Linked DNA regions of Arabidopsis thaliana. Each later gene encodes a partner of the first gene's protein in a complex. Each region holds a gene or a part of one and is shown in the gene's direction. Other genes may lie near its edges.

Region 1 (7,685 bases):
CTTTGCATGAAGACTTACTAGCGAGTAAGACGGAATAATCGGTGAAGCGAGTGGGAGCTACTGCGGCGGAGTAAAGCTCGCCGCCGACATCTCCAGAAGTTTCGGAGAAGGACCAGAGAGGAGAGAAAGGTTGTTCGGAGGAAGAGAAAATGACAGGAGACTTGAAATTTGAAGCAAAAGTGATCTGATCTAACGGCCAAGAACCGCTGAGATCCAAGTCGTCAAGTTCCATCAACAGCAGCAGCAAAGACGTAAGACGAGACAAAAACTCGTCAGAGTAAGTGTTAATATCTCCGGAAGTTTCGCCGGAGCTCCTTTTGAAGCAAAAAAAAACTCTTCTGATTCAGCTTCTTCAACAGAAAGAGAGAGAGAAGAAATAAGAGGAGAAGACAAGTTGTAATATTATTTAAATTGGGATTTAAATCTTTTTGAGATAAAATAATTTGATTTTGTTGAAGACATTTGATTCCACGCTGTACCATTTTACCCCAACCACTAGAATATCTCCCATTTCATGCAAATTCTTTATTCTTTGTATTATTTTCTTTAATATTTTTATGAGACAAAAGGCATCGAAATTTTGTTTTTCTATTAATACTAACAAACTTGAATATTAGAACATTGGCCAAAAAAAAAAACTGTATTGATATTGATTGACCATCTCTAGAATATTGGCTTTGACAAAATTCGATATACATAAAACATAAAGGTGTGAATAAATACTATTAGACTATTTGAATAATCGTTTTTAAATGCTGTGATACGATTCTATTTTATTCCAAATGCATTGTTTCTGCCAGAGGCGAATATATGGTAAAGGTTTGTTTTTATCACATTTCAAAAAACGAATTGATTATGTTATATAGAGTAGATCTTTAGACGTTTCTTACACGTCCACCACCATGAACAAAGTTGTCATAGCATATTTTATGCGCCTAAAAGCTTTAAAAAATATTAAATTAAGACGTAATTAGGCACTAAGTGCGTGTTGTGGGTGAGTAGAATAACAACGACTACTATAATTTATTCAATAATAATGATGTTCTTAGCAAATAATTATGATAAACAATGCAATAATTGACGACAATGAAAAAAACGAATCTCGCTTTGGGAGATGAATAAAAAAGCGAGGACATCTAATCGTGATTATTCTTACTCAGCCATTTTCAACTACTTACCCAAAGTGGATCCTTACTTAAGCCCTTTTGCAATACATAAAATTTTTATTAACAGTAACTTGTTTTCCTAGTGGGGACATCTAATCGTGATTATTCTTTCTTTTAATGTTATAATAACTTCCCTAATTTGTTATTTAGCTGTTAATCAATATTTTAACCCCAAGGAGAAGAAATGCTTGCAACGTAAATCCCCACTTGTTTCAAGTTGATGAGTGTTTGGCAATTGACAATTGTGTGTCCCTTGTTCTGTAATGACAATCCTTCCTTCCTTCTTCCATATTTGGACTAGGTTGTTCATCAAAGGAAGGAAGGCCCCGGCTACACTACGTTAGAGGCTCTCCAAATCTGTCCTTTTCATCCACAACTAAACCAAACCCAAATTCAAATAACCAAACTGAACTAAAACATTCCACCGCAAACCAAACCGAAATTGAGTATCCCGGACCACGGTAACTCTGAATTCCAAACTATACCTAGTTTTGAACACCCCTAGAATTATGGACATCATGTTCAAGCAAAGCATCAAAGTGAGGAGGACAGAGTCTCCAATTGAAAACGAGTGAACACTAAACAATAGAATATAACGTAAAAGGATATGGAAAAACAGATTGATATCACAACAAAGTCTCATTGACCCGGAGAAAATACTGAGTCGCTCAATATCGGTCATTACATGATAACAAAGTTTTCTGACCCAGAGATTTCCAGGAACATAACAGAAGAGAAGAGACAAGCAGTGAGAAAAGTCGAATCTTACACGATACGCTCCAGCTCTCTGGCGTAGCTTAGAGTCTGGTTGATGAGTTGCAGAGACGGAATCTCTTTGCACGGTGCAGTTTCTTTGGCTTTCTGGAAGACAACAAACCCTTCCTTCACTTCCCACTCAGGATGCTCCTATAAGATTTGATAAAACCTAAATCGCGTCAATGGTTCATGAAACTAAAAAAGATTCTAAACTTTGCACAAAATGTTTTTTCTCTTACATCTGTGACATAGGTTAAGAGTTCTTGATCAGAAGAGAACAACAACATCTGCCGGGCATCGCTGATAGAGACATAATCATAAGCTTTCTCGCTGCATCCAGCTATTTCATCTCTGTGAATTCAGTCATAACAATAAAAAGGTGAGATAACACGCGAGAAGACATAAGACTGAACTAATTCAGAGAAGGACAGACTCATTGATGCTACCTTATGGTCTTTGCCAAGAGATCCATGAAATAGACGTAAGTTGCATCAGGCGCGGTCTGTCTAGCACTCAACACACGGTTATAGGCACCCTCCATGAAGGATTGCTCAAGCTCTACTGCATGCTTGATGCAAGGATCCTCTAGTGTAGCTGATGAAAGTAATTCAAGCTCGGTGTGGAATTCAGCAATTCTATTTTGTACCAGCAGCCTCAGAAGGTTAAGACCCAGGATAAGATTCTCCTGTGGAGACTGAGGAATACGGTTCCTGGTGCAGAGGAAAAGAAGATATGTTAGACCAAAAGAAAATGAAAAAGATAATGTTCAGACAGTTGGTTCTTTCTTTACCTGGCATCCACATAGTAAGGTTTCAGCTGGAAGAAATCTCTCTCAAAAGCATCTTGATCCTCGGTTTTGACGCTTAGAACAACAGCATGCTCATAAATGTCCCCTAGAATACACCAATTGTCAAAGTTTTAGAAACGGATAATCAATAAGAACAAAAATTACCAATAACTCAATCCAAACCAATGCAGCATTCAACGATTAATGTATACATATAGGGATAGACAGACAAACTAAAGCAGTACAATCCCTCAGACACTCTTCAGTGGTATTTAAGTATAGTTAACAAATAACTCATGAGAATAGACAAATCCAAAACACTCCATGCAATTGAAAGCAAAACTCTAAACTTACTAGCAAATAGCTCATGTAAAACCAATAATGAAAAAGAGAAACTTACTTGCAATAGTCAATTCCTTGGCTGCATTAGGTGAATTCTCGAACAATGGAGGAAGACTTGTGAATTTGGTAAGAAGAACCTGAAGAACACAACAAAACCCCAGCGACATCAGAGACTCGCACCAGTAAATTGTAAATCTAAACCAATCCCAACAATCCCTTAAAGTAGAAAGTTAAAAATTTCATAGCACTTAGCTCTTCTAAAAGATCCTTAACACACTTATATGCTAAAAATTCTCACTTCAATAAATCAAAGCTCTCATAGATTTAAACTCTCGCGACATAACCCATCAATTTTCCCAAAGTTGGTTCAATAAGCAGATATGCAAAGAAGTGAATTGAAACAAATTAGGGTTCAAAGAAGAGAGAGAGATGTAGACCTTAAGCTGAGACAACAGATCGCTACAGGTATTGTAATCCTTCCTCGCAAACGCCGCCTTGAATCTCTCGAACTGCTGTGAAACTTCAGTTAGCTGCGGATCCATCGCTTCTATGGTTTTTTCTCTTCACCGGCGACGATTCTTTTCTTATAGATTTGATTGCTCCGAGAACTGGCTTGATCGCGAAGACAAATAATACAGATAGAAATAATTGTCTTTACAAAACGGGCCTTTAACAGGCCCAATAACCTAAAAAGGCCCATGGTGTACAATAGAATTCTGACTAATGTGTACCATCATCATCTCTTATCCAAATTTTACTCTCTCATCTCCTCTTTGCTTTCACAATCTCACAACAATGGCGTCTTCGCTGTGTGTATCAAATTCCACAATTTGCCCTCTGCCTAATGTATCTTCGCAGCCGCTGCTATCATTCTCCCACTCTCTCAGGCCATTCATTTCCAAGTCGAAACCTATGTGTGCCTCGATACAGAAGAGAGATGGCTCTCAATTTGTGGTGAAATCTCAGGCTCTTGACTTCTCTGGAACTTTCTTTGAAGGTGGATTCGGGTCGGATGATGACCCGACTTCTCCTTCCGGGTCGGGAGTCTCAACTGCCCTTGAAGACAAACCGGAACCTCAGTGCCCACCTGGGCTCAGGCAGTACGAAACAATGGCGGTTTTGAGACCAGACATGTCTGAAGATGAACGGCTTGGTCTTACCCAGAAATACGAAGAGGTAAGTAAAAGTCTCCAACTTTACCTGTTTTCTGTTTCATGTCAGAGGGAAATTTGATTATTTGAGAGAGAAAGAGATTTTAGGATTCAATTAGAAGTTGAGTAAGAGATCACTAAAAGTTGTATCTTGTGTCTGTTCTTACACGTTAATGACAAAGCAAGAGAAAATGGTTTCAATGTAGAGTTGTGTAACTTGCAGCTATCAATTGAATGTTTGTGACGACTCCTTGTTAAAATTGAAGTAAAGAGTTTAACTTTCTAAGAGCAAATCTCATCCTTCTGTGGGCTGTGAATTCTTTAAGTCTCAACCATTTGAAACAAGATAGGAGCCCTTAGTGCACTTCTTAGTTTTTTAGTCATGTTTTACCATAACATTTTAACTCAATTCTTGAAATGTCCTTTGATGCTCGAAACGAGCTAATACACAGTTATCATTTGTGGTTTACGCGTGGGTTCTTTTACGCTATATCACATGTTTAATCTAATGAGGAATTCTGAAATTTATGTTCGGAGTAGTGGAAGTTTTTAGTTGGTGCAGACTCTGAAAGATTCATTATGTTGCTGGGATTTCTTTTTGGTGTGTGTGGCAGTTGCTTGTGGCAGGAGGTGGAATGTATGTGGAAGTGTTTAACAGAGGAGTGATTCCGTTGGCTTACAGCATAAGAAAGAAGAACAAAGCTGGAGAAACCAACACTTACTTGGATGGAATCTACCTTCTCTTCACTTACTTCACCAAACCCGAATCAATAGTTCCACTCGAGACCGTTCTCACTGCCGACGATGACATTATCCGATCATCTTCCTTCAAGATAAAGAAGAGGAAGTACAACTGAAGACCATGAACATTGTGTATGTGAGAAAAATGTCAGATTCTTTTTTTGTTTCTTTGTAAGAACAAAAGTAAATCTATCTTTTTTGTATCTTTTTTTGTGCATTGCTCTGCTTTCTTATGTAACTGTGAGAAACTCTTAAAGCTAAGTTTGAGAAGCATACTTGTATGCATTTTCATTAAAAGATTTTAACTAACACTAACTTGCCATAGTTACTATAATGATGGAATTCATATTACTCTGTTTCATAGCACAAAATCCTCAACGGATGCATAACAATCAAACAAAATAGCAACAAAGAACAAATTTGTAAAGTATTCAGGCAGAAGTGACTTTGTTTGCCAGCTTTTACCTTCTGACGATCCAAACTTAAATTAGTGAGATTGTTGAACTCCTTTACGTAATTGATCAAAACCATCAACATATACGAGTGAGAGACCTTGCAAGCTTAGCATTATAATGGTTCACGTTCATGCTTTAACATTTTATGAAAATCCTAGCATAGTTTCAAATCATTTTCAATTCCACAAAATCAAACGTGTCACATACATATAACAAAACAAACGGGACAAAGTATATTTGACACACCTCTATTTGCTTGTGTAAACTAATAATGTTCTTAATTAACAAAACACACGGGACAACGAATCAATCCATTCTCATTACACTTGACACACCTCTCCCACCTTTCACCTTTGGCCGCCCCAACCGCCGCCACCTTACAGCTTCCGCCGCACTCGAAACAAGGCAACCACCTCGCTCCTCCGCACCCTTCACACGTGAGCCTCCCTTCCTCCCCTACTCTCTCCACACGTGCCCACCGCAACACCCTCCCTAACTTCCCGTTCTCATTCATCGCTGTCACTTCCGCTGCTCCTCCCAAGTACCTCCCTTTCACAAACACTCGCGGCGGCGCCACTGATGCTTCGTCTTGGAGAAGCTCCTTAAGCTCGCTCAAGACTCCGGCGTCTAAAGACACGTCCCTCTCGTCCACCACAACTCCTTGCTGCTCCATGATGGCCCTCACACGCATACAATCCTCGTACGTGCGACGCACTCCTTGCAACGACGTCGTGTAGACAATCAAACCTTCCCCTCCTCCCGGCGGACACTTCTCCGGGAACTCCCTAAGTGGGTCCCAGTTCATCACCGGCTTCTTGTTCCCTTCTTTCTCCCTCCGTTCTCTGTCTCTCTTGACGAATATGTTCTCCTTCACTGACCGAGGCCCCGAGTAGGACGACTGAGTGGACTCGGTTCGATCATCTGACTCGGGTCTTAGCTTGGACATCGACTCGGTTCTCTTAAGCTTAACCATTGTCGTCGGGATTTGCGCGGCGATGCTTCTTTTGGCCCTCACTTCAAGCTCGTCCAGTGTGTGGAACGATGCGCTCTTCCGCGGAAGCCGCCGTGGAGGAGTCGCCGGAGGTTTAACAGAGTCTACTTCCGGCGGTTTAACGGCGGCAGGTTTAAGTTTAGTTTCTAGAGATTTGCTGACTTCTTCCCATGTTTTAGGAGCGTCATCACCATCATCATCATCATCATCATCATCCTCGTCGAGACGGTCGAAGACGGTGGAGCGTGGCGGTTTCTCATCATCTTCATGTTCAAATTTTAGCCATGGCTCTTGGATGGCGTTGACATCAAACACCGCGAAACTAGACGGCGGTGGTTTGTAAACGTCGGCGACGACGTTAGCTTTTGCTTGCTTGGAAGATGTACACCCCATTTTAATAACTCTTCAAATTTTGTTCAGTTTTCTTTGTATATGTTTTTGTGTTTACTATATGAAGAAAACAAGAAAATGATGGGTAGCATTTTGTGTGGTCTAAGAGCATTCTCTTATCTAAATATTTTTTGCATCAATTTGTATCCTTCCTAGAATAATGCTTAGTATACAATTGTGGATTTATTCGAGTCCATGAATATTTGTGAAACGATCATAATAAGAATTAGAATGACGACCACCACAAAGTGTGCTTGTGGCTTCAGTGTAATCTACGTGGTGAGTCAATCATATTCTTGACAATTCAATCTTCTAATTGTCGTCTCTCCTAAATGCAAATATGTCAAACTCTACCGAAGAAAGATATGCAAATGTCATTATCATTTGAAGGGTCGATACAAAAATAATGCATTTCATAACACAAAGAGAATATATAGCATTGGAAAAAGAGGTTTCATTTTGATATACTTGAATCTTTTGAGTATCACAATTTCACCAAAACCAAGTTTTTCTTTGGCAAATTAAATGTCCTAATGAATTAGACAATCATCAATTTTTTAAGTAACAAAACATATAACTATTGATGGAGCATGTTACAGAGTCTGATACACTTTGACTTGAAGTGTAGTATCAATGGCTAAAACACTAATTTCAACTAAAGACATCATTCATCGTTGAAATTACACAAAAACCTGAGCAAAGATGAAATTTATCTGAGATGATAAAATTTACCTAAGCAGGTGATGACTCTTCTTCTTCCACCTTCTTCTTTGCCTTCTTCTTCTTTTTCTTCTTCGTAGTCGTCTTCGTGGCATTCTCGGTTACTTCTCCATCAACATCTTCTACAATCTGAGTATGAAGCTTTCCCATCTCAGTATCGATTGTCATAATCGCCTTCTCGATGAA
Region 2 (6,849 bases), on another chromosome or scaffold:
AGTACCGATTCTTATAGTACTGTTCGAGGAGTTGATAAGCTAATTCCTGTAGATGTCTATTTGCCGGGTTGTCCACCTAAACCAGAGGCTGTTATAGACGCTATAACAAAGCTTCGTAAGAAAATAGCTAGAGAAATCTATAAGGATCGAATTAGACCTCAACAGGGTAATCGGTGTTTTACTACCAATCACAAGTTTTTTGTTGTACGCAGTCCGCATATTGGAAATTATGATCAAGAACTACTCTATCCACCATCATCTACTTCAGAGATCTCTACTGAAACATTTTTTAAATACAAAAGTCCAGTATCGTCCCACGAATTAGTGAATTAGGGAGGCTTTTAGAGAATCAGAAAAAAATCTTCATAAATTAGAATTAACGGTAAATGTGAAATACTTAATTTTATATAAAAAAGGTGTGGGGGAAATAAAAAAGATGCAGGGCACTTTGTCCGTTTGGCTAGCCAAACGCGGGCTGGTTCATAGATCGTTGGGCTTCGATTATCAAGGAATAGAGACTTTACAAATAAAGCCCGAAGATTGGCATTCTATTGCTGTAATTTTATATGTATATGGTTACAATTATTTACGTTCGCAATGTGCCTATGATGTGGCACCAGGTGGCCTCTTAGCCAGCGTGTATCATCTTACGAGAATAGAATATGGTGTTAATCAAGCGGAAGAAGTCTGCATAAAAGTATTTACTCACAGGAGTAATCCTAGAATTCCATCCGTTTTCTGGGTTTGGAAAAGTACGGATTTTCAAGAACGGGAATCTTATGATATGTTAGGAATCACTTATGATAGCCATCCACGACTGAAACGGATCCTAATGCCCGAGAGTTGGATAGGGTGGCCTTTACGTAAGGATTATATTGCCCCCAATTTTTATGAAATACAAGATGCTTATTGAATGATAAAAAATGAGCCAATAGGATGAACTAAAAAAAAAGAGTTCTGCATTATGAACTTTGTATCGCGCACATAACTTAGTCAACTTTAGTCACATAACTGGGAATGAATAAATAAGATCGGAAAGCAATAAATGAAGGGGGGGATACAATTCTATTTCTATTGTATCTAATGAACCTTGGGGTATTTTTGCCCTTCAACTATAGTATACTATACATATAGACCTTTTTTTACTTGTTTGATTCAACGGAACTCATTTAACCTTTCCTTTCGGATATGTATTATGTATCAAGTATTATACATTCTTTTTGAACGGCTGGATTCACAACATGAACAAAAAAAAGAGAGGGGATAAAGCATAATTGCACTTTTTTTACTAAAGATACGTTTAATTTGAAGAATAAAAACTTATCAAAATTAATAAATCCTCTGCCAAGAACCAGATTTGAACTGGTGACACGAGGATTTTCAGTCCTCTGCTCTACCAACTGAGCTATCCCGGCGAAGGATCATCCTCGTTTTACGAATGGTGGCACAACGATTTCAAGTCCCCCGGAAAAAAGCTATGTCCACCATTAGTCTACTGAAGTATCAAGTATCATCTACTGAAGTATCATGCTCGTTTTCCTAATGGTGACACGAGGATTTCGAGTCCTCTGCAAAAAAGCTATGTCTACCTTTACTGAAGGATCATTATCATGTGACACAGGGATTTTAAGTCCCCCGCAATTAAGCTATGCCGACCATTACTGAGGTATCATCTACTGAAGTATCATCTTGCTTTTACTAATGGTGACATAAGGATTTTCAGTCCTCTACTAATGGTGACATAAGGATTTTCAGTCCTCTGCAACTAAGCTATGTCGACCATTACCGAAGGATCATCTTGCTTTTACTAATGGTGACACAAGGATTTTCAGTCCCCCGCAATTAAGCTATGTGTACCATTACCGAAGTATAATCTACTGAAGTATCAGTATCATTTTAATATATGACTTAGGTCTATGTCAATGAAAAGAAACTCAAAAGTAGTAAATTCAAAAAGTTGTGGACCGGGAATTTCTTGGATTTTATAAATAAAAGAAGACTTTCTAAGTTTGAAAATGAAAAATGATATAGATTATAAATAATTCAAATAAATAATAACGAAAAAAAGGTAAGGTGTCAACCTTTTCGGGGAGTAGAGCTGGGGATAGAGGGACTTGAACCCTCACGATTTTAAAAGTCAACGGATTTTCATCTTACTATAAATTTCATTGTTGTCAGTATTGACATGTAAAATGGGACTCTATCTTTATTCTCGTCCGATTAATTAAGTTCCATCAAGGATCTATCAGACTATGAAGTGAATAATTTTATTTTAATCAAGAAATATTATTTCTTAAACTTCGAATTGATTCACAACATTTTGATTTTGTTTATAAAAAAATAGAAATCGAGATTCAGGTCGTCATTTTTGAGATCGTTTTGTGTTACCTAAATTTATACAATATAGGTTTTTATCCTTCATCCTTTTTGATTTGAAGTTTCGATCGAAGGATTCCTTTATGAACACAAGGTAGTGAACTCCATTTGTTAGAACAGCTTCCATTGAGTCTCTGCACCTATCCCTTTTTTCGCGCTTTGTAAACTCCGGTTTGTTCGCGTAAACCAGGATTTGGCTCAGGATTGCCCATTGTTAATTCCAGGGTTTCTCTGAATTTGAAAGTTATCACTTAGTAGGTTTCCATACCAAGGCTCAATCCAATTAAGTCCGTAGCGTCTACCAATTCCGCCATATCCCCTTTTTTAGGATCTCATTATGATGTCTTTCCTTTTTTTTCTTATGCCGAAACCTCGGGATTCATTACATTATAGATACTTATTTTATGTCTTTGTTATCTTCTTTTATTTTTTTGAGCTCCATCCATATTGATTTAGTCTAATCAACAAAGATTCTATCATTTTTGTATTTGCAATTCAATATGGTTATATATTACATAACATATATATGTTCTTTTTTTTTTCATCTTTGGCTTAAATTTTCAGAAATAGTCGAACGGTCGATTCTTTTTTTTTTTTTTACTTTCATGAAAAGAAATTTATTATTATTATTATTGAAACTTAGAATTCTACAATGTGCAATGGAAAAAAATTATAAGTCTACTTCGTAAATTTGAAATTCTAATAATTCTATACTATTCTATGACTATATAGATATATATATAGAATTAAGGTTATGTTTTATTTATTTAATGATGAATGATAGTCACTATTTATGTGAGCTATATTCTGTTCTAGAATATATAGAATATCATTAATTCTAACTAGATAAGGAAAAATATTAATAGAATAGTTAATTGATACGATCTAGTAGTTTAGTGAATTTGTATGCATGCGCTATTTTATTTGAGCCCGCTTAGCTCAGAGGTTAGAGCATCGCATTTGTAATGCGATGGTCATCGGTTCGATTCCGATAGCCGGCTTTTCCATATTTTTTCGTTTTTTTTTACATGATTTTTAATGTACTTTCAAAATCAAAGAAGATTGAAAAGACTTCTTTGACCTTTTTCCAAGAGTTACCACTCCATTTATATTATGTCATATAAACTTCCATATTAGGAATATATATTGGGTAAAAGAGTTTGATCTTTGCAAAATTAATCAAGAAAATAAAGGAAAATTTTTGTGATTTAGTTGATTTATATATATTGTATATACAATAAAAAAAATCTGTATATTGAGAGAATATATCTTCTTACTCTTTGTATTCCAATAGTGGAGTGTATTTCACGTCATTTATCATTATCATTTAGTTCAGTTTTAATTTTATTTAGTTTTGTACAATTTCAATCAAAAAAGGAGTCTTTATGTCACGTTACCGAGGGCCTCGTTTTAAAAAAATACGCCGTCTGGGGGCTTTACCGGGACTAACTAGTAAAAGGCCTAAGGCAGGAAGCGATCTTAGAAACCAATCACGCTCCGTAAAAAAATCTCAATATCGTATTCGTTTAGAAGAAAAACAAAAATTGCGTTTTCATTATGGTCTTACAGAACACCAATTACTTAAATATGTGCGTATAGCCGGAAAAGCCAAGGGGTCAACAGGTCAAGTTTTACTACAATTACTTGAAATGCGTTTGGATAACATCCTTTTTCGATTGGGTATGGCTTTGACTATTCCTCAAGCGCGCCAATTAGTTAATCATGGACATATTTTAGTTAATGGTCGTATAGTTGATATACCAAGTTATCGCTGCAAACCCCGAGATATTATTACAGTGAAGGATGAACAAAACTCTAGAACTTTGGTTCAAAATCTTCTTGATTCATCTGCCCCTGAGGAATTGCCAAACCATCTGACTCTTCACACATTCCAATATGAAGGGTTAGTCAATCAAATAATAGATAGGAAATGCGTCGGTTTGAAAATAAATGAATTGCTTGTCGTAGAATATTACTCTCGACAGACTTAATAAACCTAACTTAAGTAAAAAAAAAAATTACTAAAAACAAGAGTTCGGACAACTCCCCTTTTCCATTAAAAATAAAAAGGCACAAGGTAAGGGATTTTGTCAAAGAATATTTTTCCTATTCATGTATCATAGATTGGTAGGGAGATTGGGATCCCTTGTTTGCTCTTCCCAGCATTTTCCATATGAAAGAAATTAGGAATAGAGAATCTATTTCAAAATCAAAACAAGGTAGATCTTATATCGATTCTTTTTTATTGGATTTGATACATTGTGGTCAATCACGTAAGATTGGTGAATTTGTTGAAAGTACGGAAAGAGAGGGATTCGAACCCTCGGTAAACAAAAGTCTACATAACAGTTCCAATGTTACGCCTTCAACCACTCGGCCATCTCTCCGACATCAAGATTATGACTGAGTATCTGGGTGAATAGCGAGTTATTCATCGTTTTTTAGATTATGGTTAATAGATACCCTTTTTGACCGGAAAATTTGGAAGTAGATAGAAGGTTTTTTTTAATGAGTCCGCTTTTATGTTAGTTCGTACTATACAATTCCTTTGTTTGTGAGAAAATTTTCTCACAAAAGAAAAGGTAAAGGAAATAAAAAGAGTTAGAGAATGGATTACTACCTATGCCAAGATCGCGTATAAATGGAAATTTTATTGATAAAACCTTTACAATTGTAGCCGATATCTTATTACGAGTCATTCCGACAACTTCCGGAGAAAAAGAGGCATTTACTTATTACAGAGATGGTGCGATTTGATTATCATTATTTTTTTTCTCGCCGATTTTGATTGGAATAGAAAGAAAAACGAGTATTGAAAAAAAATCTACGCTTTTGAAGGTGAAGTTTATAATATAAAAAAAACAATCCCTTCTGTCATGTATCCACGATTAATGCAGCCTTAGATGCTTCAATTGTGAATTATAGTATTGAGCAAAAGGTTTTTACCTATGGTTCCCGTATTACAGATCAATCCTACTACACTAATACAATATACGAATAGGAGGCATAGGGGAAGAAGCACTACGCCGAGAAATCAACAACACGAAAACTTTCTTAAAAATGATTCCCTTTCTTCTTCTTCGTTGGGATTGGGACTAATTAAAATGGTTGGAACAATAAACATCCATCTCGTTCGTATTTTGGATACCCGTATAACCATTGAAGACTGTTGAAGTGACTAATTCCTGGAAACTTAGGGGCGTTGAGAACAAAGAAATTTTTAGAGTTTCCTTTTTTATTTTTATCTAGCATGAACCCACTTGGTAGTAAGAAAAGATCTTTTGCAAGAAGGTTGGCTAGGGATTTCTTGTAAAAACATTAGCCCCGCTTAGTTCATAATGACATCACATTTTTACATATATTATTTTCATTATGCACCTAAAGGAGGAGCCGTATGAGATGAAAATCTCACATACGGTTCTGAAACGGAGAGTTCGTTAAAGCGAATGACGACCGTAACGGATGTCGGCTCAATCTGAAGGAAATTATGCGGAAGCATTACAGAATTATTATGAAGCTATGCGACTAGAAATTGACCCCTATGATCGAAGTTATATACTCTATAATATAGGCCTTATCCATACAAGTAATGGGGAACATACCAAAGCTTTAGAATATTATTTTCGGGCATTAGAACGAAACCCCTTTTTACCACAAGCTTTTAATAATATGGCTGTGATCTGTCATTACGTGCGACTATCTCCACTATAGAAAAAAAGAACGAACGCTAGTCAATAAAATACTAGAAACACAAAAAAAGGGCTTTCTACATAAGCATCGCCTAAAACGATTTTTATCAGCTGTAGCAAATAACTAAACTTCATCCATCGAAATATGAAGTGAAGACTAGATATGCCTAAATACTTTCTTTTCTATGGATAAAAAAAGATTTAATTGATAGAGGAAGCACCGTAAAGATCAATTGGAAAGGTTTTGGACCGACACAACAAGAGCTGTTTATTTATATCATAATATGAGATAAATCTTAGGAATCTACTTATGTAATAGAGTAATCCCCGAAGGTATTGAGCAGCGGTGTAGCATCAGATCCTAAAGACAGTAAGTCTTTTTCTTTTTTATGAAGTATGAAAAAGTCTTTTTCAAAGATTCTATATAAATTTTTATATGAAAGCGGGATAGTTACCTTTCAGAAAATTCTAATATCTAATAACAGTGGACATGCTTTTTTTTCTGAAGGTAGGAGAAAAGATAAAACTTATTATATTAATTAATATATTAATTAAATCAAAATGAAAGTTTGAAACTCATGTAATTACTCTCTTTTGTTTAATCCAAGAAAAACAAAAAATCTATAAGAAATCTCATTCAATTAGACATTCAATTAGATATAAAGTTCAAAGTAGGTTAAAGTTAAAAAACTGGTACACCAAAACAAAAGAGTTGGTTGTCGAGCCGTATGAGGTAGGAAACTCTCAAGTACGGTTCTCAGGGAGGGAATTGATCCGCCTATTC
Region 3 (8,499 bases), on another chromosome or scaffold:
TTAGTCAAATCAAATGTTTTCCTTTTAATAAAAACCTCTCGAAAGGACTAGAGAAAAGATAAATCACATTAAATGGAACATGCATGATGCTAGCTAGTGTAGTTGAACCGTTTCAGAAAACAAAACAAAAAGTTGTTCAAAGTGAAAACCCAACTAAGCGATCGACTAGAAGATTCTCAACAAATTTCACAGTAACTTTATTTTTTAATATTCAAATAAAAATGATCTTATGGAGACTAGTGATGATGAATATGTAGGATAGGATAGTGGGGGAACTGATAAAAAAAAAGTATGGAGGTCTAAAACTAAAAGCAGAGAGCAGAGAATCTATATATGGAGTCTTTAAAGCAAACTTATATTACTTTTTAAACATATATTCGATTCTTCGTTCTCGTTGATAAATATTCTACAGGTTGTACATATGGATTGATGGATCATGGGATTAAATATATGTACACAATACATCATTTTGACGTAACTTATAACATTGTTAGAATTTTGTAATGAGTCTGAAAGTTTCTACAGTTATCATCTTAGGGCTTACTAATAGCTATTATATTATTGTTAAGAATACGTAATAACATTGATAAATGCGTATGTACATTTTACTTTTACCAAACCCATGATCAATTTAAAGAAATCTATACGTACTGTTCAAGCTTGGAATCATGGTACCGGATGTTCTGTTGGCCACGGAATCAGCAAAAGTTATCAGATCAAGAAAATTAAACATTTTAAAAATCAACTATAGCCAAGAAATAGAAAAAAATGGCTCAATCCATCACATATCATGTTTACACGAAAGTACATCATCTCCTAAAAGACATATAGAATTAGGAATATCCATCATACGTTTTTCTTTGACATTGAAAATTCATTATATGCAAAGGTATACACGTGTGCATGCACGGACAGCATTATTCCCCCGAAACTATCGGGTGTAGACAACACACCGCTAAAAACATGTAGTACATCAGTCTAGCCTATAGAACTAATAATGGAGTTCGATATGAAATATGTAAACATATAATTTTGTATGTATATGATCATATTGTAGTTTAATCGTATTTGACGAGTTTCATTTTTGCATAATATATACGAGGTAACAATTTTCAAGAAAAAGTGTAACGCGAGAGAATTACTTAGATTTAAAAAGGATTCCATTAAAAGAGATGCTTACAGAGGCTAGGAGGATGTAGAAGAAGCTAGAAAACGTAACTCGCTCTCTATATGAGCAAATTGCGTTTGATTAAACTTAAACAAAACTGATTAATTAGAAAGTACTCAAACAAGGATTAAATGCCGTTTAGCTTCGATTCTAAGCTCTTCCTTCATCTTTCTGATGAACTCGTCGAATTTCTTATTCATCTCCTCCTCCGTCGATGTCATCACTCCTACGTTCCCTTCTTCTTCCTCGTTTATAGATCCGCCACGAAGACCACACTCTTCCTCTCCATCATTATCTGCTAATGTGTTGTCGTCGTCATCTTCTTCTTCGTTGTCCTCGGTTTCTTGATGTTTTGTATCTTCCTCCACTGTAACTTCCTCTGCAAGAAAGGACTCTGTTCCTATTCCATGATCAGATTTATACTCTAGCTCCAGTATCGTAGTGTAACTCTCGAAATCTCCATAATCAAAGGTTTTATCGGTATTACTCCAAATTTTCTCTATTGGTTTGGACGAAGCGACCAAACCAGAACACTTAGCAACAACCACTACGAGACCATTGCAGAGGAGGAACATGTAGTTTTTATCTACTGCGTGTGTTACGAGTTGGATCATGAACCTATATAAATAGAAGTCGTGGCTGGTTAAAAGAGATAAAATCCACATCGAAACTGCTATAAACTTGGTCAATTTCTTCAGAAACTCCGGTTTTATTTGATCCATCTCTCTGGTTTCTTTTCTTTGGTTTTGTGAGTGAATGGTGAGGACTAGAATAAGAAGAAGAAGAAGAAGGAATTAAACAGGTTAAAGTGTAATTGTGCAAAGCGTTACACTACACTCAACGGCTTTGGTATTTATAGAATTTAAGCCAAAGGCAATGGGCATCTGTGGATGATTTTACCAAACCACCCCTTGTTCTGAAGCTGCATGGCTGCATGCCACGTGTGAAGTGTGATTTCCCAGTTATGTGGATAAAAAAAAGTCTCTGTGTTTCTTCTATTGTTTGTTTGTCAACTAATCCATGTTTTCTTATGTCCTATTATTGGTTACATTGCGAAACGACCTCTGGTTAGTGTTCCAAAAGTTCCGAATCTTTTATGACCTCTGATGGAATTCGGATTTTTTTTCTTTTTATATCATCAAGCTATACATGATGACTTAGCTTTTATGGTATGTTAATGGTAAAGGAATATGACTTTTAAGTCATGTATAGCTTGATGATATATATAAAAAAAAATACTCATGATTGAGACAAATACAAACGGAATAGTAAGGGATGATTGGTCTTTGAATAGTGTGAGGGCTTGTGGACAATAATATTTAGAAGATGTCATTGTCTTTTATGTCTTTGATTGGTTTAAGTCATTTTCCTTCTTTAAATTGCATGGATTTGGCGACATCATTATGTTAATTGTTAGGCTTCTTCTACATGTATTTTGCTTTTATTAAAAAAAAATTATACTTGAACTACGCTAACACCTTATATTTCCGTGTGAGATTATGGATCACACATTTGAAGGTATATATTTACAGATTATGGATCACACAATTACAGATAAAATTAAGAACAATGCATTTAAAAGTCAAAAATCAAAACTACGGAATCCTTCCTTGATATTATTGTCTTTTGTATTCAAATTAATATTATTTTATGAGTTTGTATTATTTCATCGAATATTTATATTGTCCATTTTTTTCCACATTCATTGCATATTTTCATGGGGTTTTGTTTGTCAAGTAGTTCATTTTGTCTTCCACTTTTCTTAAATTTTCCATCTACTTCACGAATGTTTGTGTGTTGAATTTTCCAAAAGATATTTATGAGATACAAAAGAATCTTCTAAAGACAGATCACAATCCACAAGAAAGAAAATACCGAAAGACAAATGAATCATATTTTACTAGGTTAGAATATTTTTGGTCCCCAAAAGAACTATAAAATATGGGCCTAATGGGTACTTTTGGTCCCTAACAGAAACTATACAATTTGGGCCTAATGGGTATTCATTTATAATAAGCGTAGGCCTTTTAATGAATTAATGGGCTTAGAATAAATAATATCTCATCATTTAAAAAAGAGAGAAAAAGGTTTTGGATAAAATGGATAACCCTCAAGAAGAAGCTGCTGAAGAAGAAACCTCATCCTTCGAACGTTAAGAGGAAGAAGAATAAGAGAAATCGATTCGTGGTTTTGGGAAAATTCAATGGCGGTTTCTACTGTATCGTCGTTTCTATTGCCATCTTTCGGCATTCCAAGCTCTTCGCCTTCTTCTACCAGACTCAAAGTCTCTCTGCTGCCTTCATCTTCTACCCATGGCGGCCTTAGTTCCTGCGTCCTTACGAAACCATCCGTCTCGCTTACGAAGGTCTTCGCTGTTCCCGATACCCTAGATCCAACTCCAGAAATTCTCGATGAACCCGCCTCTGAGGTACACTCTTTCCTCTGTCAGTCTCGGATTCGATTGTTTGCAGAGCTAATGCGAAATTTGGGGGGGGGGGGGGAAAGACATTGTTTTGCAGAATCATTTAGCACTTTGATGTTAATTCTGTTAATAATAGTCTTTGTGTCTGTGTGATTCAGGTTCCGAGCTCTTCATCCATCAGTGTAGACGCGGATAAGGTATATTCCGTTACTGTTACAGCTCACTTACTAGAATACAGATTTTACGAGTACTTGTGCATTGGTGTGTTCTAAATTCTGTGTCCATCTTCGTCAAAACAGTAGACTTTTTTGCTTTACTACGTTTTCACAGCGCTAAAAAGTATCATATCTGTTCTAACACCAATGCCCATTGCTGTGTTAGAGGTCACTGCTAGAAATTGATACGCAAATTTTCAAATTTGATGTCTTCAATGTCTATCTTTGTCAGATCAATAGACTTCTTTGGTTTACTACGTTTTTTCAGAGCGATAAAGAGTCTCATTTGTGTGAAATGCCTTCAAGTAGATATCATCTTGTATATACAGGAAAGGAGAAGTAATTGTATAGAAATCTTGATCGTCTTTAGATGGTATCTTCATAAGATTTGCCACAATAGAGTTTTGTTTTAAGGGGTCTTGTGGAGTTTCATTGTGTTTGGTTTAATTTGATTTATTTTTGTGTTATCAGATGGCGCCAAAGCAAAAGATTAGGATCAAGCTTAGATCATACTGGGTGCCTCTTATTGAGGACTCATGCAAGCAGATACTTGATGCTGCGAGAAACACCAATGCAAAGACGATGGGTCCTGTTCCATTGCCAACCAAGAAGCGTATCTACTGTGTTCTCAAGTCTCCTCACGTTCACAAGGATGCTAGGTTCCATTTTGAAATCCGGACACACCAGCGCATGATTGATATTCTCTACCCGACTGCTCAAACTATCGATTCTTTGATGCAACTTGATCTTCCTGCTGGTGTCGATGTGGAAGTGAAGCTCTGAAGAAGAAGCGTAACTACAATGGTAACAAACAAAAAAAGTGATCTCTCTTCTTAATGGTTTTTGAATATTGATGTGTCTTAGCTACTGAAACTGCACATAGGCTCCAATATTTATCCTCAAAAACAAAACTTCATCAAATTACAATCTTTCTCTGTTGACCATCAAGATCTTGATGCTTGTTCTTAACCAAAGTGTTTTTTCTTCCTCAGATGTGATGGGCACTTTTGCATTGAATGAACAGACTGTTTCAGATCAACTACATTGCTTAGAACTGGTAAGCCTTGTATCATCTTTTTTGAGAACCTTTGTAACGAAAATGTAAGTTGTATTATCTGGTCCTTGGAATCTATCTTTAGCGATGCTTGGTTCTTAGTTGATGAACATATCCTTAATTAAGCAAGTTCAAAGGAATTTGTTTTTGTTTTACTAATTGTTATGCAGTTTGCCTGTGTCCATTATGATAAGTTTTTTTATTTTTGTTGTATTCAAAGTGGAATCTTTTTTTTGAATATAAGTATTATAGTAGTATTATAGTAGGAATAAGAAGATGCACAACTTGAGTTATTTTAAAACCAGGAGGTTGGAATCTTGAAAGCGACTTCATTATTATAATAAACGTATAAGTTCGTTTATCCACAAACTCAATAGGGAAATTATAATTTTTTGTCACAACACATTTCATTTATCAATTATCCTCTAGACTCAGTTCGTCTCTTTTCTTAGCAGCCAATTAAAACCTGCAAGTGTTGTTTTACCAGTCTTTCCTTTCCAAGCTTACGAAACGATCCAAGGGAAAAAACAGTAATGGTTTCGAATTTATGTCTGATAAGTCGATGGCGCTTTTTCTTATCTAATTTGGAATTTTGGATGATGCAGAAATTGTCAACCCCCCAATATTATAAAGTTGAAGAATATTCTTTTCCATGTTCAATCATACACACAACTATATCATTATTTTAATCATATGAAATGGTTTTTGGTATAGTAAGAAGTGGTTCATTGTAAGATAATGTCTTGACCAAAGAAGAAAGAAAACGAATAGTCGCCAAAATTGAATTTGGTTTAAGTAGATGAGACAATGATGTGGCGGTTTATAATAGTCGTTAAAGTTAAGGCATATTCCCACGATATACCAACATGGACCGTCCATTATTATTTATTTTGATTATAGTTTGTTCTCAAAAACACTCGAATAAATTGCTTTTTTTTTTCACAGCATTACTGAAATCATACATAATTTCTGCTTCCATAATCTTATATTTTACGAGATCGGTTTTATGATAAACTTTCAAGTAGTACCATTATGGGTTGTATTTTCTTTTACTACCATTTTGGGTTTATTGCAATTTGCATAAACATATTCAAAACTATTTTGCGTTCAACCAAATGGTTAAACTCTGGTTCATATTGATATACCAAAACACTCATATTGGATCAAATATGTAAGGTGATAATAACACTGATATGAACTAGTATACTATGTCTTATGAGTCACTATTTTCTCTAACTTTAATAAAAGTTTAGCTGTGATTCATTATTCGTGATTATGGTATCCTCATATCAGAATTGCTTTGTTCTAATTCAGTCTTATTGTTCACTAATCCTGATCGAAAATACATGGCCACATTAGAAGCATCAAACAAACAGGGTTTTATGTTTTCCACACTCGAAGAGACAATATTTTCAACGGCTGAAACTGAAAGGAAACAAAATATAATTTTAAGACAAAAAAAAAAGAAAAGAAAACATATATTTCTTCTTTTGGTTGTAGTATTTTGAGACCTCACTGATTGTCGGAAAATAATTGGAGGGGTTCCCACTGATTTTGAATTTCTGTAATACCAATTGTTTGTTTTATTAGAAAACAACACCTTCAATTTGTATTTTCCCCTTGTTGTTTGGGATGGCAGTTACTTAAATAAAATATTTATCTAAAACCCATCGAAGAAATTGATTCTAAACATAACAAATAGTTATTTTTTTTCACACAATCTCACTTGGATATAGTTTATTAAGTCGCTGGTAGTCAAATATCTTCGTTTTAACATATAAGCTTTTTATTATGTTAATTTTTTGGTTTTCACATCATATGATTATGTTAATTGATAAAGCTATTTAATTGATCAGAAAGAGCGAGAGCCACATGATAAATTCAAGTGACTTTGGCTTGAAAATAGGACGATGGCTTCACGGATCTATAGACTAACTAAGTCATCTGTCATTACATACGTCACGTTTATTTCATTTTATAATTACAAAAACACCAAAGTTAAATCAAATTATTCTTTGTTTTTGTCAACTGATTTGATATTGATAAATTTGTTGAAATTAAGTATATAGTACACACGGGAGTGACTAAAAAAAAAAAAAAAAAAAGAGAAACTAAAGCCGATATGCAATGAATAAATACTCGGAATCAAAAACGGGAGGAACACAAAAAATTATTGGAGTCTAAGCCATATAGAAAAAAAAAAGATATTAAAACCACAAAGCATAAAACTCAAAGCAAAATGAAAAAAAAACATATATTCTTACCTAAAAATATAAGCAACTAGGCATATATAAACCTTACTAAACAACACTAGTTAAGTCAAATTAGTCTTAAATTGATTTATGAAAGGTCTATTATACACGTCTAACAAAAAGGGTTTATATATCTCGAAGGTGGCAATGAAATATATAGTTCTTGTGTTGAACAAAGGTAATGAAATATTTAAAATTAAATTTCACTTGTATGGGATTGCACTTGCTCGTATTCACGTCATAGTGAATTGTGATAATATATTCTTTTTTTTCTTTTCATTGTGATAATTTTATTTTTTAGTCGTTATAGTTTGTTGTTTTGGTATATACAAAAAAGAATGAACAACAAAAAAGTGGGTTGATGGTAACCAAAAAAAAGTAGGTGTCACAAAAAAGAACATGTGATAGATGAGCCTCACTCCCGAAAAGAAGATGTACACAAAAACTCTGACCACAATTTAAAATGATAATAAACATGTGTTTTTTAAAATTCTTTTACCAAACAAGTGCTACTTTATTACGACAGTCGACATATATGTCCTTTTAATTTTTGTTAATTCAATCGCACGAGAATTAAAACAATGATTCGATTTGCTATGCCATTTTTTTTCAAAAATAAATTACACACATTTTTCTAAATTAAATCCCAAAGAAAATATAAACAAATCTTATTATATAAATTATGGTTTTCAAAGTTACTAACTCATACGATTATACCACGTGTCAAGTCTATCGATCAGATGTTGATACGTGTAAGAAAATAATTAACTTTTTTCTTTTAAAAAAAATAGAAATACTAAAAAAGAAATCAATTAACTTTTTTCTTCTTAAAGAATTAGATAACTAAAAAATAAATCATTATTAACATATACTAATTCATATGACTATATCTAAAAAAGATTACATTTTATTTTTCTTAACCAAAAGGATAATTAACAAAAAAAATATATATATGTTATTGGTCAAATTTTTAATATATATGGTATTAACAAAATTTGTATTATTATTAATTATGTTTTGTTAATTGTTAATAATTTTTAATATTAACTAAGATATAGATTTGATCTCATATAAATATTATTTTGACATGAAATTATTATCAAGTAAGATGAAGTGTGTAGAATTAAAATCGAGTTTTTTATGAAATAGATAGTTAAAATGTATTACAAAATTGAATGTGTAAGATAAAAATTTGTTTTTTTATTCTAAATACTAAATTATAATAAAGAAAAAATGTGTATGTTACTATTTAGACTTCAAATATCATCAATAAGATTGAATGAGTATAATAAAATAAAATGCATAAAACTACTATTTTACTATTCAAAATTATATATCAAAACAATATATAAATTATTATTTTACTATTCAAAATTTAAATATTATTG
Region 4 (7,049 bases), on another chromosome or scaffold:
TTAGCAATCCTTAAAATAGTAGTACTAATAAAATAAGCTCTTTTTAAATATAAAATAGAATAACCATTATTATTCCTATCCCTATAAAGAATAACAAACACTATTGCTACCAAAGCACTACTACTACTAGTAGGAATAGTACGCTTTTGCGAAATGTCAAATACACCCTTTTTATGCGTCAATGATTGTTGTGAATCCAATCTTTTACATAGTTAAAGTTTTGGATGAAATTATGAATATTAACAGTAATTTCTAATTTGCAGTGAGATTATGCATGCTATGTGGAAACCACAGAAGTTTAAGTACATTTACTTGATGGCGACGTTATACGTGTTCACGCTAACGATTCCGTCAGCTGCCGCCGTTTACTGGGCTTTCGGAGACGCACTTCTCGACCACTCCAACGCTTTCTCTCTTATGCCCAAGAACGCGTGGCGTGACGCCGCTGTTATCCTCATGCTCATTCATCAGGTATACACATACAACATTTTTGTTCTTTCTTTTTTAAGTAAATTTTGATCATGAGAGATTAATGCAACGTGTTCTTGTTCGTGCAGTTTATAACGTTCGGGTTCGCTTGTACACCTTTGTACTTTGTGTGGGAGAAAGTGATTGGGATGCATGACACAAAGAGCATTTGCTTAAGGGCTTTGGCTAGATTGCCTGTGGTCATACCTATTTGGTTCTTAGCTATTATCTTCCCCTTTTTCGGTCCAATCAATTCCGCTGTCGGTGCTCTTCTTGTTAGCTTCACCGTCTATATCATCCCATCTCTCGCTCACATGCTCACTTACCGATCTGCCTCCGCTCGTCAGGTATAACATCTTTACTAGCTCACTCTCTTTTAGCGTTTCAAAACTCGAACTTAACCTAAAATACATTGAGTTACCAATAATTTTTTAGAAATGAAATGAAGAGTCGGTGGAGGAATATTATAGTTGGGGGGTAGGGTTGTGAAATTGGAGGGCAAAAACGTCTTTTGTGGAAGATAGATGGGGTTCAGTGTTCCGTATCTTACGGAAGATAGGATCATCACCCACATTCCTTACTGGCGTCCCCTCCAAATAATATATTATTGAGTTGGTTTCAGCCATTTCTTTATTTGGTTACATTTAGAAGAAAAAATACAATATCCGGTTAGGTTAGTATTAGTAATTGACCATGACTTCTTTTTCTTTCTCTCTTTCAAAACAGTGTATATTAAATTTACGTAAGATAAAAGTAGAGGAAAATAGGGGAGAGGAATAGGTAAGAGTCATAATCAGAAATGAAAAGGAGCTGTACAATAGGGACTCTATGCCTAACATTAATCTAAAGTGAGAGTCTGAGTATGACAAATCACAATCATATCTCTCTCTCTCTCTCTCTATCTCATGGGTCAACAAAGCTTTGGATTTTGTCCATTACTATACGACCAAAACTCTAAAACACTTACACACTCTCTATTTCTTTAATGGTTCTCTGATTATTTTTGTGTTTTGGATCTTTCTTGTAGAATGCGGCGGAGAAGCCACCGTTCTTTATGCCGAGCTGGACGGCGATGTACGTGTTGAATGCTTTCGTGGTGGTTTGGGTTCTTATAGTCGGATTTGGGTTCGGTGGATGGGCTAGTGTAACCAACTTTGTTCGTCAAGTCGACACTTTTGGTCTCTTTGCCAAGTGTTACCAATGTAAACCAGCTGCAGCCGCCGCACATGCCCCGGTCTCCGCTTTACACCACCGTCTTTGAGAGATCGAGTCAGGGTTCTTCTAATGCGTTTGTGGAGGGTTCTTAAAATTATTTGTTCTTCTTTTGTGTTTTGTGTTCGTATACGTGAAGGGAGTAAAAGTCACGAAAATAGTGTACTTTTTACACACCCCTTTAAATGCGTGCTAAGCTCTTAATTATTTTTTTCTCTTTTGGGGTTTTGTATTTTTGTTTTCACTCCTTAGTTTTTTTTTTAAAATTGAATAGTCGATAATATGTAGTGTGTGATTTCTTAATTTGGTATTGTTAAAACAATAGGCTAAGAAAATGTATCGTCTTCTCTCCTTTTACTTGTCTTTAGTAACAAAAAACAATTCTTATCTTATACATTTATCCTAATTAGACTTATATAAACTATTTTACCATGAACAATATCTTCCGATACTAGATAATTCTTTAGGATCCTATTAGATCTTTTAATTATACAGTTTTGATCATAGCACAGCGACAATACTACTAAGTTTACATTAAAATTTTGAAATAACACTTTAATTTATTTGGAAAATTTGATTTAACGGCAGGGTGTGTTTAAAAATTAAATAGGGGAACATGGACAAGTTGGACCGACGGAGCCGGTCATATATCCTATGGGCCACATGGGTGTGGGGAGAGGACGCACGTGGATACTTCGTCCGAGTCACGTGCCATTATTTACTTGACACTCTTCATCTTCTCTCTGATCAAAAGAATGGATCAGAGGACCGTTCCTGTCCCTCATATTAAATATGGCATGTGTTCGTTCCATTCGTACTCAATCGTTTACCCCTTATCATATGCTCTGCTTTCACATGTACTTTGCCCCCAAAGATTATAACTATATATGTAAAATTATTAACTAATATTCTCGTTTGAATCCAGAGTCCGATTCTTGTACTTTCCATCTGACTTTTTTTTTGTTGGGGGTCAAAATAAAAAAGAACTTTGCAAAAATGTTTCTTCTAATAGCATAAAATCGTTAAAGAGAAAAGAAGAAGTGAATGTGAGTCATATTATGCGATATGGAGTAGGACCCTTGGTAACGTTTGGTTAGTGACCCTTGGTAACGAGTGGGTTCAAATTGTCAATAAACTATTATGTGGCGAGTGGTGAATCGTCTTTAATTTGTTCTGATTTAGGCCATGTGAGTTTTGCAACTACATTTGAGGCTTTTCTTCTTCTTTATATTAGACTTTTTTTTTTTTGTAAAGTGGACTATCTGGATACAAAAAAAATCTCGGCTAACATGGATAAATCTAAGATGGTTGTGTTTGTGAAAAGAAAATTGTTTTATAGTAAAATACGGTATGCAATAAAAGTATTTCATAAAATATCTCATACCAATTATTCAAGCATGTCTTTTCATAACATTTGACTGGCATCTTTCTCTCCTTTGGCCTTAAATCAATTTTTTGTCATCTTGGATTTCTTTTGAGGTATATAGAGCTGTTTGAAAATTTTGATGGCTGAAAATCACTTCACATCTCGATTTCTATATCATCCACTTAACTCGAAGTCAGGAGTAGCCTGAGACGATTAGGTTAAGTTAAGTGGTTATATGAATTTGTAACAACATTTAGATCTTTGTTTCCAATCATCAACCAAGTTTGAGAGACCTTAAAAACGTATATACGCACACCACAAAGTGATATGAATATGCTAAATTGTTTCTGTAGACACACAAGACCGTTGAAACGTCCAGATTAATCGCTTACTCCAGTCGAGAATACTTCATAAACATGGGACTAGAATTGTACCAACACATAATATTTCTTCATACGAAAGAGAACATAGTCTTAGCATGTTCAGGATTTAGAATACATTGAAGAAACACACATCTTCGTTCATGGCCTTAAGGTACACGAGGCCTAGGAAAGGTCTCATACTCTTGTTGGGTTTGAACTTGAGAAGGTATTTGAGGTACACGAGGCTTAGGGAACAAGAGCTTCAGGCGAAAAGCATCCATCCCATTCAAGTAATAGTGGTATAGCCGTTTGGCTCTTATAAACCCGAGTCGCCCATATAGTGCTAATGCTCCTTTGTTACTCACTTCTGCCTCCAGAGTTACCTTCAGCCATACATCTTTACATTAATTAGATTGCATAACCAGACAACCATACTCTCATGTTGTAATCAGGCTTGATTATGAGGAACTTGAAGAGCAAATGCCAATCACGAGGTTCTTTTTCCAATCTATTTACTACTGAGATTACAGTTAAGAGATCACACATACAACAGAAAATGATTCGTCGAATACGCAATTAGTAAGTGGGAGACAGGGATTTCTTATTTTATATTACTATCAGTTACATTCCAATGCGTGTGACTATAAAGAGTCATGGACTACATACAAGACTTATACAACATATGTATACTAAGTGAGAGACTGGGATTTTGATTTCCACTACAAAATTAGTAACTAAACGAATATCGAAAAGTTCCAACTCTTAGGAGTATGATTAACTACTTTTATACGTGGAACTAAACTTACACACACAGTTAGCTAAACAATCAAAAGCAATAGGTATACTTGCAATGATTAAAGGCAGCTACATCACCTCAGCTATGAAATTCTATTCTAGTAGATAAAAAGGAGGCACTATTTCAGGACATGTAATGGACTTATAACCTTCCGGAAAAGGTGGTTCATAAGGTCTTATCTACATTTATACTACCAGGAAAGGATATCACTCTAGTGCTACCAAATATCTAAGTTCTCCAAAGTGGGAATAAAGAGAGAAGTGAGAATGCAAGAACAGCATACCTCTTCACAGCCTGATTCCATCATCGCTTTTATCGCTCTTGTGACAAGCTCTGAGGCTGTAAAAAAACAATGACAAGTCAGCACACAAAATTATCGAACCTTAAGAGAGGCATGTATTTGCAGTAGATCAAACACTACTCCCACAGTCAAAATCTGATTCTGTAAGAAGTTAGGAAGCACTAGCTCAAGTATTACCTATGCCTCGGCCACGATATGGTTTAATCACAACCAACATAGCGATGTACCCTCTGAAAGTCTGTCGATGATCCCCCATCTTACAGACTATGGTTCCTACGCATTTACCTTTGTGAAAGGCCTATTAAAAGAAACAAAACAAATGCTACTCATAAATCCATCAAAACATAAGTATCATGAGGGTAAAGCAACGATAATCGAAAGCTGAGTGTCAAAATACCAGGAAGCATAGCTGCGGCCAGAGGTAGACGAAGTACCGGTAAGTAAAGATGGAGTAAGGTTCACTAAGTTCTTGGTCAACAAGAGACATAATCAATGGCAGATGATGCTCACCAGCATAACTCGTGTACTCAATCTCACCCTCATCGAATTCTTCTTTATCTTCCATCTCTTTCTCCATTGCAAGAAGTGATCAAGATCCCGAATTGTATACTTACAAAGAGAAATATGAACTTCTGATCAGTTGTTTATACATTGATGATCTTGTTCCTATAGGAAGTGATGAAACACATAATGCAAAGTTAGAGAATATAAATCATTTTCTGTGAATCGAAGTTGAGTGATTGTTTCAGAATTGAAAGTTCAATGTTTTCATAACAAACTCAGATTGCTCAAAGCCTCAAATAAACAGCTGAAGCAGAATCTATAACACTCTACTAAAGCAAACGACTTTGGCTAAAGCGAGCTATAGAAGATTTGAGAGTTCAGAAAAAAGAGAGCTTACCGATGTTATGTGACAATAGGATTAGTAAAGAATCCTGTGAAGCATAAGAATGAAAAAAACACACACAGATTTTAAATACCAAGTAATGAGAGATTTAGAAAGAGATGTGATTATAAAAATTGAAACTTTTTAGAAACCCAAGATCAATGAGATGATAAGAATACTTACCAAAAGTTTGAGCTTTGTGAAATTCGAAGATCAAAAGTTACGATCTGGGTGATATCTGAAGAAAAAAGCTCCGAAGAGAAGACGAAGAAGAACAAGAACAAGAACAAGAACAAGAACAAGGTCGATTACACACGTGACAAGCATGTGTAGGGTTTAGATATATTTGGGCTTTAAAATAAGCCCAATTGAAATTAAAGCCCAAATATGAAAAGATAATTAAAAGCCTATCCTAAAATCGTTTTTCTACTCTCACTGCCTTATCTTCTTCTGGATCTTCTTCTTCGAACAAATTCGAAAACAGCACACGGCGATGGCGTCGCTTATACTCGGAGCTCCTCCGCGAGTCACCGTCGCATTACCTTCCTCACGGTTATCATCTTCTCACTCTGAAACTGCCGGTGTCTCTCTCTCTTGCTTCACTCATCAATTCTCTCTCTCCACTTCCTCATCCAGCTCAATTCCACTCGGTAATCTCCCTCTCTTATCTAACTCTCTCTTAATTCGTCAATGGCGTAACTTTTCCGGTGTTCGCAGTGTACTGTGGCAGAGGTGACCGGAAAACAGCTAAAGGAAAGCGTTTCAATCACTCTTTTGGGAATGTAAGTAATCAAATTTCTCTTTCCGATTTCGTAATTTTACTTTGCAAATTCGCAATTTTGGTTTTGAATTTGGGGTTTATGTAAGCAGGCGAGGCCAAGAAACAAGAGCAAAGGAAGAGGACCGGAGAGAGTACCGGTTCCTCCAGCACCACCGAGGAAAGATAAGTTTGAGAACGACGAGAAGATCAAAATCGATATCGACGAGTCTCTCTTCTCTAATTAGAAATATGAGATTCTTCACTTGTTGTCTCTCACTGTAATTTTAATTTGTTTTTTGAAAAGCTTTGATGCTACGACTCTTTTGTTGTTAAAAACATCTCCAAAGTTCTCATCTTTTTATGAAAAGTTTGCTTCTTTATGAATCATTGAGTCTTTTACATTGAAAAAGTAAAGCAAACTAAGAACGAGAATCTATATACTTAGATAGATCAGATGGATGAATCATCTGTCTCTGTTTGGATCTTTAAATGTGAGAGTTTGTGATGTTTCCGCAGACTGTGCAGTGAGTGGAGACGAGAGTGTGCATTACACTTCCTTCTTCAATCTTAATCTTCCTTGTGACTTTGTTCCACAGATGTATCATGTAACTCCCTTTGTTCATGTCCTGTACTGTCTTCTCTACCCATTTTGCTTCTCTTGTGGTTGCAGGTTTCTTGAAAAGCTTTTGGATTTTGATCCAGTTTACTGGATAGAAAGCATCGGGAGAAAAGATTGTGAGATTGTTGTATCCAGGTTTGTTTCCTAATCTCTTGATAACTCTAGAGACTAGGTAAGGGCTGTTGTATCCCCATTTGTTTCCGTCGAAAGTTGTGGCATACTCTTGCAAGAATTCTCGCATTAGCGGATGGTAGATGTCAAAGACCATCACTGCGTTGT

Evidence for each region.
Region 2: AT1G64510 (region 1) and rps4 share a complex: the UniProt entries of both Arabidopsis thaliana proteins name them as parts of the 30S ribosomal subunit.
Region 3: AT1G64510 (region 1) and AT3G13120 share a complex: the UniProt entries of both Arabidopsis thaliana proteins name them as parts of the 30S ribosomal subunit.
Region 4: AT1G64510 (region 1) and PSRP4 share a complex: the UniProt entries of both Arabidopsis thaliana proteins name them as parts of the 30S ribosomal subunit.

Annotation. Positions count from the first base shown.
Region 1 is NC_003070.9:23,952,367-23,960,051, reverse strand, and holds AT1G64510 (Translation elongation factor EF1B/ribosomal protein S6 family protein), read left to right. Parts: upstream 1-3,747; 5' UTR 3,748-3,774; coding exon 3,775-4,227; intron 4,228-4,816; coding exon 4,817-5,059; 3' UTR 5,060-5,249; downstream 5,250-7,685. Other genes in the region: AT1G64530 (Plant regulator RWP-RK family protein), read right to left, coding at 19-232; RPN12a (regulatory particle non-ATPase 12A), read right to left, coding at 1,932-2,072, 2,162-2,273, 2,369-2,632, 2,713-2,815, 3,110-3,188, 3,489-3,593; AT1G64500 (Glutaredoxin family protein), read right to left, coding at 5,676-6,782; AT1G64490 (DEK, chromatin associated protein), read right to left, coding at 7,512-7,685. UniProt on the Arabidopsis thaliana protein: Binds together with bS18 to 16S ribosomal RNA.
Region 2 is NC_000932.1:42,741-49,589, reverse strand, and holds rps4 (ribosomal protein S4), read left to right. Parts: upstream 1-3,761; coding exon 3,762-4,367; downstream 4,368-6,849. Other genes in the region: ndhK (NADH dehydrogenase subunit K), read left to right, coding at 1-333; ndhJ (NADH dehydrogenase subunit J), read left to right, coding at 437-913; photosystem I assembly protein Ycf3, read left to right, coding at 4,999-5,124, 5,839-6,066. UniProt on the Arabidopsis thaliana protein: One of the primary rRNA binding proteins, it binds directly to 16S rRNA where it nucleates assembly of the body of the 30S subunit. With S5 and S12 plays an important role in translational accuracy.
Region 3 is NC_003074.8:4,216,399-4,224,897, reverse strand, and holds AT3G13120 (Ribosomal protein S10p/S20e family protein), read left to right. Parts: upstream 1-3,250; 5' UTR 3,251-3,371; coding exon 3,372-3,596; intron 3,597-3,748; coding exon 3,749-3,787; intron 3,788-4,276; coding exon 4,277-4,588; 3' UTR 4,589-4,609; exon of another isoform or gene 4,610-4,625; intron 4,626-4,797; 3' UTR 4,798-5,588; downstream 5,589-8,499. Other genes in the region: AT3G13130 (uncharacterized protein), read right to left, coding at 1,285-1,890.
Region 4 is NC_003071.7:15,975,064-15,982,112, forward strand, and holds PSRP4 (plastid-specific ribosomal protein 4), read left to right. Parts: upstream 1-5,784; 5' UTR 5,785-5,884; coding exon 5,885-6,041; intron 6,042-6,108; coding exon 6,109-6,173; intron 6,174-6,261; coding exon 6,262-6,396; 3' UTR 6,397-6,549; downstream 6,550-7,049. Other genes in the region: AUX1 (Transmembrane amino acid transporter family protein), read left to right, coding at 264-471, 558-815, 1,496-1,729; ATMAK3 (Acyl-CoA N-acyltransferases (NAT) superfamily protein), read right to left, coding at 3,576-3,791, 4,488-4,543, 4,683-4,803, 4,903-5,082; AT2G38150 (alpha 1,4-glycosyltransferase family protein), read right to left, coding at 6,637-7,049.